Caenorhabditis elegans: one gene and its partner. The protein of the gene in region 1 purifies or fractionates together with the protein of each later gene. This does not show direct contact. Each region holds a gene or a part of one and is shown on either strand. Other genes may lie near its edges.

Evidence for each region. Proteins that work in one complex are often made in the same cells at the same time.
Region 2: the proteins of tsfm-1 (region 1) and tufm-1 purify together in Caenorhabditis elegans (co-purification; one study listed by BioGRID). This does not show direct contact.

What each region holds. Positions count from the first base shown.
Region 1 is NC_003283.11:12,269,254-12,274,256, forward strand, and holds tsfm-1 (Elongation factor Ts, mitochondrial), read right to left. Parts: upstream 2,299-5,003; 5' UTR 2,297-2,298; coding exon 2,213-2,296; intron 2,155-2,212; coding exon 2,009-2,154; intron 1,928-2,008; coding exon 1,500-1,927; intron 1,454-1,499; coding exon 1,161-1,453; 3' UTR 1,018-1,160; downstream 1-1,017. Other genes in the region: twk-24 (Potassium channel domain-containing protein), read right to left, coding at 1-57; capg-2 (CAP-G condensin subunit), read left to right, coding at 2,631-2,935, 2,982-3,692, 3,736-4,117, 4,191-4,655, 4,700-5,003. UniProt on the Caenorhabditis elegans protein: Associates with the EF-Tu.GDP complex and induces the exchange of GDP to GTP. It remains bound to the aminoacyl-tRNA.EF-Tu.GTP complex up to the GTP hydrolysis stage on the ribosome.
Region 2 is NC_003281.10:2,811,643-2,817,294, forward strand, and holds tufm-1 (Elongation factor Tu, mitochondrial), read right to left. Parts: upstream 3,328-5,652; 5' UTR 3,295-3,327; coding exon 3,252-3,294; intron 3,144-3,251; coding exon 2,970-3,143; intron 2,838-2,969; coding exon 1,847-2,837; intron 963-1,846; coding exon 680-962; 3' UTR 501-679; downstream 1-500.

The DNA.
Region 1 (5,003 bases):
TGCACTTTTGCTCCTTCCAGCAACAATTTTATCATCTTTCTTTGTGGTTCCATTCATATCACCTTCTGAAACAAAAACAATGAGAGGATAAGTAGGTGATAAGTTGATGATAAGGAAGTGGTAATAACATAAAAATCAATGAACTCTAGAGAAACAAAAAACAATTGGATCACAGAGAGATGGAAAAGAATGCTCTTATCATTATCTTTTCTCTATCTTGAGAAGAGTGTGAATTTCCCAAAGAATCCCACAGGAGCAGGAGAGAAAGACACGGGCGAAAAAAAAACAGCAGAAAACGCAAAACGCATGATATTCTCTTTGTGTATTCTTTTACTTCTACCTTTACAACAGCGGTGCTCTCTCAAAGAGAGCACATAGGCGTCACGTCTTGATACACATTTGATGATGAAAAGGAAAAATGACGATGAGAAATGAGGAAGCTTGAGAAGAAAACCGAAGAAGAAAGATTGGGGTTTGTTGAGTTGTGTTCCTTTGGAATGTGGTATGAGAACTTGAGAAATGGGAACATCTGGAATATAAAACTATGAGGAATGTTCGGTGATCTTTCGTATTTTTTGCCATGTCAATGGAACTGAAACCGTCTAACTTGATGATAATGACCAAGATAGTCCCTTCAGTTTTGGAACAAGAGTAACAGACTCAGCAACAATATTTGTTTCAGATTGTCTTGATAAATTGCCAAATCTAAGAACGATACAATTTAGAACAATATCGCATGTTTCAACAAAGAGCTCAGTGATACTACAGTACACCTACATCACCAATTACTCCTACAGTACCAATACAGTACCCCAAAAATATATATGTTTTCTGAGTGTTCTCAGCAGTTTTCTCGTATTTTTACTATATTACAACAATTGTTTTAAATTTTCGCGGATTGTGACCTTAAAATACATTTGATTTCGACAGAAATCCGAGTGACCATGAATTTCTGAAATAAAATAAATGCATTTTAATCGTCTTCTTGTTCAATTGTTTTCCACGGAGGAATGTTCTGAAAATTGCAAATGTTTATTTTTTAAACTTTAAATTCAATTTATATGTCGATAAATTTATTTATCGATTAACAAAACAGAGAAACAAAAGCATTCTAAAAACTAATAAGGCATGAAAATAAAGTTACTACCACTTTTATCTAATTATTCGCTTCCAAGCTCTACACGAACAAAATCGAGAATGTTAGCATTGTGGGATTTTAGGTACTCATGAACAGATTGAGATGGATTCAACATGAAGGCTTGGCGGAGAAGAGCAGTTTCCGATTCATCAATATTAGTTACAACAACTGGATCAGCATTTGGATCATGCCCTTCTTGACTACGAAGCCCTTCTTGAGTTTTCACAGATTCTGCAGCTTCGCCGAGGGATTCCGGGGACATTCCGATAATGTGCTGGCATATCTGTCCGGCAAGTTGCTGACTACTGATTGACCCTGTAAATGTTAAGACTTAATTTTTTACTTTATTTCTTTGTTTCACCTGGACTCGATTGATTTAGAGCGATGAGTGAAATGAACCGTCCCATCGGGATATCATCAGTTCCATCTTTAGGATGTGAAGCTCCAAACAAAGTTGTTCCTTCGGGAGCTTTAAAAGCCTTAACTCTTCTCACTGTCATGTTCTCACCAAGCTTTCCGATTGAAAGGGAGAGCACTTCACGCATATTTTTTCCGTCGGAATCGGTCAGATCCCCAAGATCATAGGTGAATTCTTGAAGTTTTGAGCCGCTCGATATAGATTGTGGCTTAGCTTTTGCGAGAACAGAGTTGGAGATGTTTGACAACAAATCCTTGAAAGCTCCAGATCGCGCCACAAAATCAGTTTCACAACTGAGTTCTACCACAGCTGCTGTTGAGTTGTCCGTGACTACAGATACAAGACCATTCGATGTTACACGAGTTCCAAGTCTGGAATATTCTATAACTATTAAAATAATTCCTTGTGAAGTCAACATTCCAAATTAAAAAAATTTCAAAATAAACACTTACTTTGCCGCTTTGGCCCATCCTTCCTTCGCTGCAGCTTCTTTCAACCATTTTACAGCACTATCCATATCATTTTCGCCAAACTGAATAAGTGCTTTACGACAATTCACATAACTATAACCAGTCTTTTTTCGAAGAGCCATTAGAGCCTGAAAAACAATTATTTTTTATTTTTTAAAATTAATTAGGGTTCCTAGATTTTAATACCTCTTTAGAGACTTTCTTTTCGGCCTCAGCCAAGTTTCGACTAGTCGTTGATAGTAGACGTACAAATGGAGCTCTAGCAAACATTTCTAAAATTGGAAACTTTAGTTTTCAGTCAATATTGATAATTATTTTAAGAGAATAAAGCAAATTATGCAATTTTCTGGGCATTTTTTGCATTAAAAAATGAAAAGGCAAGTGCGCCCCAATGAGAAAGACGGCCGCGCGAAAGAATTCGTTTTGAACATAACAAGGAAAATGTGTTTCTTTTTTTTTAATTGCGAGGTAAATTATATTATTGAATTATTTTATTGATTATTTATAATTATTTTTAGGTGAAAACTTTAATACTATTATTTTTTGCTATTTTTTTGTTGAAATAAATTCTATAATTCCATAGAAATTTTCAGTAAAGAGATCAATGCCGAAGAGCAATCCGGTAACACCTAACAAACAACCATCAGAAGACTGGAATGAGTTACTCACAGAGTTCCGTGGAAAAGGAGGTCGGGCTCTTCAGAAAACATTCATCAGAAAATTGTGGGCAGTTCAAGAAGATATTATTGCCAATGCAAATCCATCGACTCTTCGGTGTATTTTCTTCGCACCAGCCTTGTTGATTTGTCCGGAAGGTATAAAATTATCAGCTGAAATTCTCCCAAAAATTGGTGTTGGAAATGGACTGATACTACTCGAGAAGTTAATACTAAAGTTCAATCTCACCGAGTAAAGTTTATACGCTGAAGAATTCCATTTATATATATTTTTGCAGCACTGAATGTCAAAGGTATGGTGAAGTATTCGTCACAGCTTGGAGAAATGCATATCAGGAGGCTAACTTTGATTTGACAGAGGAATTGGAGACCGATGTGATCAGTGTCATGTGTCAGCATGCATTATATGCTCACAGGCCTACCTGCACTAAATTTCAAAATGTGATTGCCGCATTTGCACACGCGAAAAAACTGGACAAAAGTGTAGATGAAATGGTGACAAGGCTTCTCAATGGATGTCTTTACCGAGCGCTGGACGCTCCAAATTACATTGTACAGTCATCAGCTGCAGAAGTATTTTTCAATTTTTACCCACTAATTGGCGAGGATACTGAAGACATGGATAGGATAATGGAAAACCAACATCGATATATGATGGACTTATTACGTAGTGATGTTATTTCCATTCGAAGCGAAGCCACGAAACATGTCTTGAAGGCAATCAGCGAATTCTGGCTTCTTATTCCAAAAAATATCGTGAAGGAACTCATGGGATACATCATTGATACAGTCGCGAAAGACACTGTTGTCAGCGTCCGCGTCGCCGTTTTTGAAGGTCTTAATGAAATGGCATTTGTTCCGGCATGTCTCACAGCATTCGAATATGGATTGAAATGTGCCGTTGATCCAGCACTACAGGATAAATCTGAACGAGTTCGTCTTGCTGCTTACCAAATAATTTCTCGTCTGAAGAATCATAAATTTATTAGGTAAAATGAACCCAAATCAACAAACTAAAAAATAAATTTTCAGTGTGTTCGATATCATTACTCGAGATGATGCCATTGCGAAACTCGATCTGGAAAACGTAGAGACCTGCCGCCGTCAACTGATTCCAATTATGCATATTTGTCTTCCTATCTCGAAAAGTCTGGATGAAGCATACTATCGTCCTCGTGTCAACTACATGTTAGGAAAAAGTCGATTGGCTCTTTTGAGTTACTTCCGATTGCTTGGCCCAATGAAAATCATTGATGCATCCCAAGCATCCAAACTTATCGAAATGTTTATAACCTGGGCATATCGTTATCTTCGTAAAAAGGATGGCCCTCCATTACCAGAGACTGCCGAAGGATACAAAAAAGCGAGAGCTTATCTTGAGTGTGCTCTCATTCTGTACATGTCATGCAAAGGAGTTAGTTTTCTATTTCTCAAATTTAAAATTGAAGACCTTTTTTAAAACATTATAAACTTCTAAACTTTTTCAGATGCTGATGTCAGATGGCGATGGAACTTCAAAAGCGAAATGTGATCAAATATTTGGAAAAGTTGTCAAGGAAATATTTGAAAAATACGCCAACACTCCTATTCTCGGAACTGCGACAGCAATCAGCAGTGTCATTCCTAAAGATTACCTTAAATCAATTGCTAATGATGTTCTCGCAAGACTGGAAGACGACGATGTTCCTCCAGAAGCAGTTGAGCCGTTTCTTGAATCTGCAATTCATTTCAACCCGGATTCTGTTTTTGATTCATTCGATAGTGGGCTTAATGTTCTTGTAAATTTGTATGGAACGAAACAGAGTAAGAAGAAACGACGTGAATTGGAGGATCCAGAAGATGTACTGATTATGACGTTGAACCGTCTCAAATATTTGCTACAGAGTCACAGTACATCAAATCTTATTGCAATGAAAGATGAATACCGAACTAAAGTCTTGGATTTGTTGAAGGTTTGTGTATTAGTTCATTATTGAAACAATAATATTATATTTAGAAAATTGATCTAATTCGAGAAGGAATTGAAATTAGGCTTGCAAAAGAAGAAGGCCAGGAGCACACTCTCAGTGATGATGTTCTTCTGTCGATACTCGAATTTAGATTCATTTTGCCCTTTTTCGCTGCAACTAATGGATCTGAAGATGCTGCGGATCGTAACCAAACTATCGAGTCAATGAAAAACCTTCTTCTTTGGTTTGAAAAAAATATTTCAAGTCAAATGGCGACTTTTGGTGAACACAATCAAGATTTTCTCATTCAATTAACAAGTACATTCTTGAATTGTGTAAACGTGTCACTAT
Region 2 (5,652 bases), on another chromosome or scaffold:
TTTTTTTTCGTCAAAGTTTCCTTTTTTTTTGCTGTTTTATTAACATATTCGGCCAATCCCGAGGCTGCTAGAAATGGGATATTGTTAGCGGTTTTTTTTCGTTTTTTGATGGTTCTAATAAATGTGAAACGCGGTATTTTAAAAAATTTTCAGCAAAAAAGAAATGTTTTTGATTTTTCAGGAAATATAATTAAATAATTTTCAAAAATTGAGTTTTTCAAAAAAAAAATTCAGTAAATTTTCTGCAAATTTCTTTAAATGTAATTTTTTTTAATTTCACAATTTTTCATGAAAATTCCCTTTTCCGGTTTTTTTTTGGAAAAAATAGAAACCTTTTTTCAATTTCAATACAATTTTGAGCAAAAATCAGATTTTCCAGGAAAAAATTGATATTTCGATTCAAAAATTTCAAAAGTTTTTTTGCCAATTTTAATGAAATTTTGTGGTTTTTCTCGGAAAAATGCTTCAAATTGCAGAAAAGTTTGATTTCTACAACGAAAAAGTAAAAAAAATTCAACAGAGAAATATTAAATTAACAAAAAATGGGATATGAACAATGAATCTCAAATCTACAACTAAAAAAAGGAAAAAATAACTATAAAGATCATGAGGAGGGGAGGGAAACATGGATTTTTAAGCACAAAATTCTTCAAAATTTTCAGGAAAAAATGCGAAAAATTTATGGTTGTCCCTCGAAAGCCTTCGCAGCCGGATTGTCCTTTGGAGAATTGGAAAAATCTGGTTTCAAACGTTTTTCGACCATATCTCCGTATGGATTGAATCCCAATCGTTCCATTTCAGCTTTCATCAGCTTTTTCTTCGATTTCGGGTCCTTTTCGTCGTTGGTTAGTGGTGGAAGAACGTCGGTGAACACACCGGTTCCAATTGTTTTGGCTCCTTTACGAATTGTGAATCTTTGTTGGGGCTCGATGAACATTTGGGAATTCAGTGAGAGCTCGACTCTGAAAGAAAAATTGAATTTTTGATTAGTTTCAAGGGAAAAAACAATTTTTCAATGAAATTTTGAAACTTTTTGTTTTTTCAATTTTTCGGAAAATATTTAACAAAAATCTTAAATTTCAGTAGGCTCTCTTTTTTTTTTGAAGAACAATTGTCAAATAACAATTCTACCATAGCAATATGGCCACAAAAGTTGATTTTTAGTCATTTTTAAATTAAAGAAATAATTTTAGTAGCCAAAATTCTTATAAGTACGATTTTAAGCTCGTTTTCCGGTTTTTTTTTCCGATTTTCAAGAGAAAAATCTACAAAAGTAGCCTGATTCACAACACAAAAATTGGTGGAAAATGTGATTTTTCTGCCAAAAAGTGTCATTTTTTCGAGTAGAAAGCATCAATTACCTCACAAATCGCAAATCGCGAATTTTAGAATTAAAAATCCTAGTTGTCACGAAAATTGACTGGAAATATTGAATTTTCTGTCAAAATATTTTAGAAATCGGATCTATTGGAGAAATTTCGATTTTCAAAATTAAAAGATTCAAGATCGTATTTAAATAAAAAATACGAGAAATTAAGAATTTATAGTGATTTTTTTTCGCTGAAAATTTTTTATATAACTTTTTTCGTCTCTTTTAATCCGCAGAAAGATCACTTCTCCAATAAAACTATTTCTTTTGAAAATTCATTTTTAAATTCGATTTCTAAAATTTTCAGACAGGTAATTCAATTTTTGTAACAACTATGATTTTTGGAACTTAAAAAGTATATTTGTGATGATTTCTGCTCGAAAAACATGAATTTTCGACAGAAAACCAGATTTTCTTAATTTTTCAGAGTTTCTGTGCTGAAAATCGGCTAATTTTTGGTCCAGCAAAATCCCTTACTCCGCAGATTCTCCAGGCATCACAAAGTCTTTTCCAATAATTCTGACACTTGCTCCACTGTCCCATGTCAATGAGAAGACGTGCTCACTGAAATAGTTGGCAATCGGTGTCTTGGCGCCTCCTTCGCTCTCTTTGAGCACATAAAGTTGAGCTTTAACCTTATCAGTGACCTTATGTTTGTGTCCTTGTGGAAGTAAAACACATCCTCTACGAACATCTTTTGGTCCTAAACCACGAAGAAGCACACCCAATTGATCTCCAGGCTCGGCTTGATCGACAGTTTTACGGAAGGATTCTAATCCAGAGATTACTGATTTCACAGTGGTTCCATCTTTTGTTCCTCCAACAATTTCAATCTTATCTCCTCTCTTCAAAATTCCTCTCTCAAGCTTTCCAGTGATAACTGTTCCACGCCCGACGATCGAGTAAACGTGCTCCGCTGCAAACATTGGCTCCTCGTTCACTTTTCTCTCTGGGATCACAAATTTGTTATCGAGAACTTCAAGGAGCTGCTTGACGGCTTCTTCTCCAATTTCTGGCTGTTTTCCTTCAAGAGCACAGAGAGCCGATCCAAAGATAACCGGACATGTGTCTCCTGGATATCCAAACTCGTTGAGCTGCTCGCGAATGTCCATTTCTACGAGTTCACGGGTTTCTGCGTCGGGAACCTCGTCGACTTTGTTCATGAATACTACGATATTGTCAAGTGGAACTCCGACTTGACGAGCCAACAGTAAATGCTCTCTTGTCTGTGGCATTGGTCCATCGGTGGCTGCTACGACGAGAATTGCTCCCTCCATTTGTGCGGCACCCGTGATCATATTCTTGATGTAATCAGCGTGTCCGGGGCAATCGATATGAGCGTAATGGCGTTTGGCAGTCTCATATTCCAAGTGGAAAGCGTTGATGGTGATACCACGGGCCTTTTCTTCTGGCGCATTGTCGATATCTTCGTATTTACGGTATTTGGCTCCTTTTGATGTGGCGAGGACTGAAAATTGAAGTTTTTTGGAGGATAAAGGTGAAATAAGTCACAATTTTCTGAAAATTTAGATTTTTTAATGGATTTTGCTAGATAAAACCGGTGGAAAACGTCGTATTTTCAAAGAAATTCAACCCGTACTCTTTGTAATTGCCGAGGTGAGCGTAGTCTTTCCGTGATCGACGTGCCCGATGGTTCCCACATTCAAATGTGGCTTATCTCTCTTGAAAACGGCTTTTCCTCCTGGAACAGCCAGGTGACGAGCCTGCATCAACGATACTTGCTGCATTTTTTGCTCGCATAGTGTGACGGTCTCTGAAAACTCGAATTTTACGAAAAAAAAACAACTATTTTTTTCGTATTTATATGGCAAAAATGTATTTTGCAGAGGAAAATTTACTCGATTTCTAAATTCAAACTCACTGAAAACACCGACATTTCGGCTGAGAAGATTCAAAATCTGCATGTTTCCGGCAAGAGGCCCAAATCTGTAGTTTCCCTAAAAACAGGTGATTTTTTTAGAGATTTTCTAGTGATTTTGCAGCGAAAAGTGGCAGAACACACGGATAATCGATTTTTAATTCAATTTTATCAAAAAAATTAGAAAAAATCAATGAAATTGAAGGTTTTTCAGGGAAAAAAAGAAAAAAAAAGAAAATTAAATGATGCAAAAAGTCCGCAATTTCGGACGAACACAACACCGAATCCTACGACAAATTGCACACAAAACACCACTTGATGCTTGTCGACCGTACCCCGCGAAATCATCGGTTTGTTTATTTCTTCCGCGGTTTTTTTTTCCATTTCCGCATCGATTTTTAGCATTTTCATATGATTTTTAATCGATTTTTCACTGATATTCATCGAAAATAGCCCAAATTCTATGTAAATAGCAGAAAAAGTCATTGAAACCACGGAAAAACTCCCAAAAATCGAAGAATTTGCGGGGGGCCGCGAGAGGACAAGGTTTTCTGATAAGAAACGCGAGATTCGTGTAAAATACGATGATAAAGCCGCTGATAACGCTTTTTTGCCCGGCTAATTGTAAGAAAAAGCAACGAAATGTTGAAAATCAACTGGTTTTATCGAATTTTTGGCGAAAAACCGGATTTTCAAGATTTTCCGACCGAAAATGCGTTTTTTTCAGCGCAAAAGTGCGCGCGAAATTCAAATTTCATCAATTTCTAATCTTCCAATTGTTTTACAGCGCTTTTTTCCAATATTACAATATTTTTTGGCTACTTTTCAGTGAAAAACGAACAAAAACCGTTCCCATTCACAATTGTTTGCGGCCAGCAATACGAAAATCAATGAAAAACCGACGAATTTCGCAATTTTCTCGCATTTTTGAGGCAAAAAATCGGAATTTTCTGCATTTTTCTCACTTTTTCTCGAAAATGGGCCTAAAAATCGGGTATTTCTATGATAATTCACCGAAAATCCCTGAGATTTTCACATTTTCTAAAAAATTGTTAGGATTTGAAGCCTTTTTCCATTAGAAAGTTTTATTTTCAAGCCGTGAAGACTCATTTTTCTATGAAATTTGGGATTTTCAATCGATTTCCCGAGTTTTTAACAGAATTTCACTGAAAATCATTCATTTTTTGACCGATTTGAACCAAATTTTTGTTGAAAATTCCGGATTTTGCACATTTTCAATCATCTCCAGCTCATTTTCGACACAATTTGTGTGCTCCAGCTGTGAAAACATGGGCTCAAACACTGATTTGCTCAATTTAAATGACCATTGTATTCGGGTTTTTGGGGATTTTTGTGGTTTTCTGGAAAAAAAAAGTCCCAAAATAGTTTGAAATTCGGAAAAAAACTACAAAAAAAACCAAAAAATCGGGATTTTTTAATTTCTGCTAAATTCGAACTCCGCCCACTTTCTATGATTGGTTGGAAAGTGGGCGGAGCGATTCGCTGATTGGTCACAGTTCGAATTTAGCCGAAATTCAAAAATCTCAAGTTTAAAATTTGAAATTTTAGTTCCGTTTTTTAATTGTTTCTCCGGAATTAGAGACTATTTTAAATTACTAACTGATACAGTTGTGATCGTGCTAAGACCCTCTGTAGGCAGGAAGCAGGCGCGTAGGTCGCCTACGTAGGCGCGCAGGCATTTTTGTGTCAATTTTCAAATAAAAAATCGATTAATCCTGCTGCCTCTTCCTTCCATTTCAATAGATCATCTGTTTGTGTTCCTTTTCTGCTGACAACTACCTCTGACTGTCTGCGTCTCCCCTCTCCCTCCAATCTATCACCATCCTCGTGCAATAGTGTGACCCCCTTTTGAGTATTCTCCAATATTTTTCAAATATAAACAAATTTTCTACTTTTTCCAAAGTTTTGTTTAGTTTTTGATTAGTTGATAATATGAAAAATCTGGAAATTCGAGCTGAAATTTGAAGGAAAATCAATTTTTAACTGAAATAAAAATTTGAACATACACAAAAATTAGCAGAAAATTCATTTTTTCCCCAATTTTCGCGATTTCACTGCAACTTTTTCCTCACGAGGGACGAGGAAAAGTGGTTTCTAGGCCATGGCCGAGGGGCCGACAAGTTTCAGCGGCCATTTATCTTGCTTTGTTTTCCGTTTGTCTTCTTTCGTTTTTCACTTATTTTTTTCGTTTTTTCTTAATAAAACTGATAAATAAATATTTTTTGCAGATGCTAAAACAATTTCCAAGTAAAAAAATTATGTTATCAGCCGGCAAGCAGCGGTGAAAGTGGGCATTGTAATATGATGGATTACGGGAATACAAAACCTAAACTTTTTCTGAAACATGATACATATGATGCTTAAATGCTGAGACTACCTGATT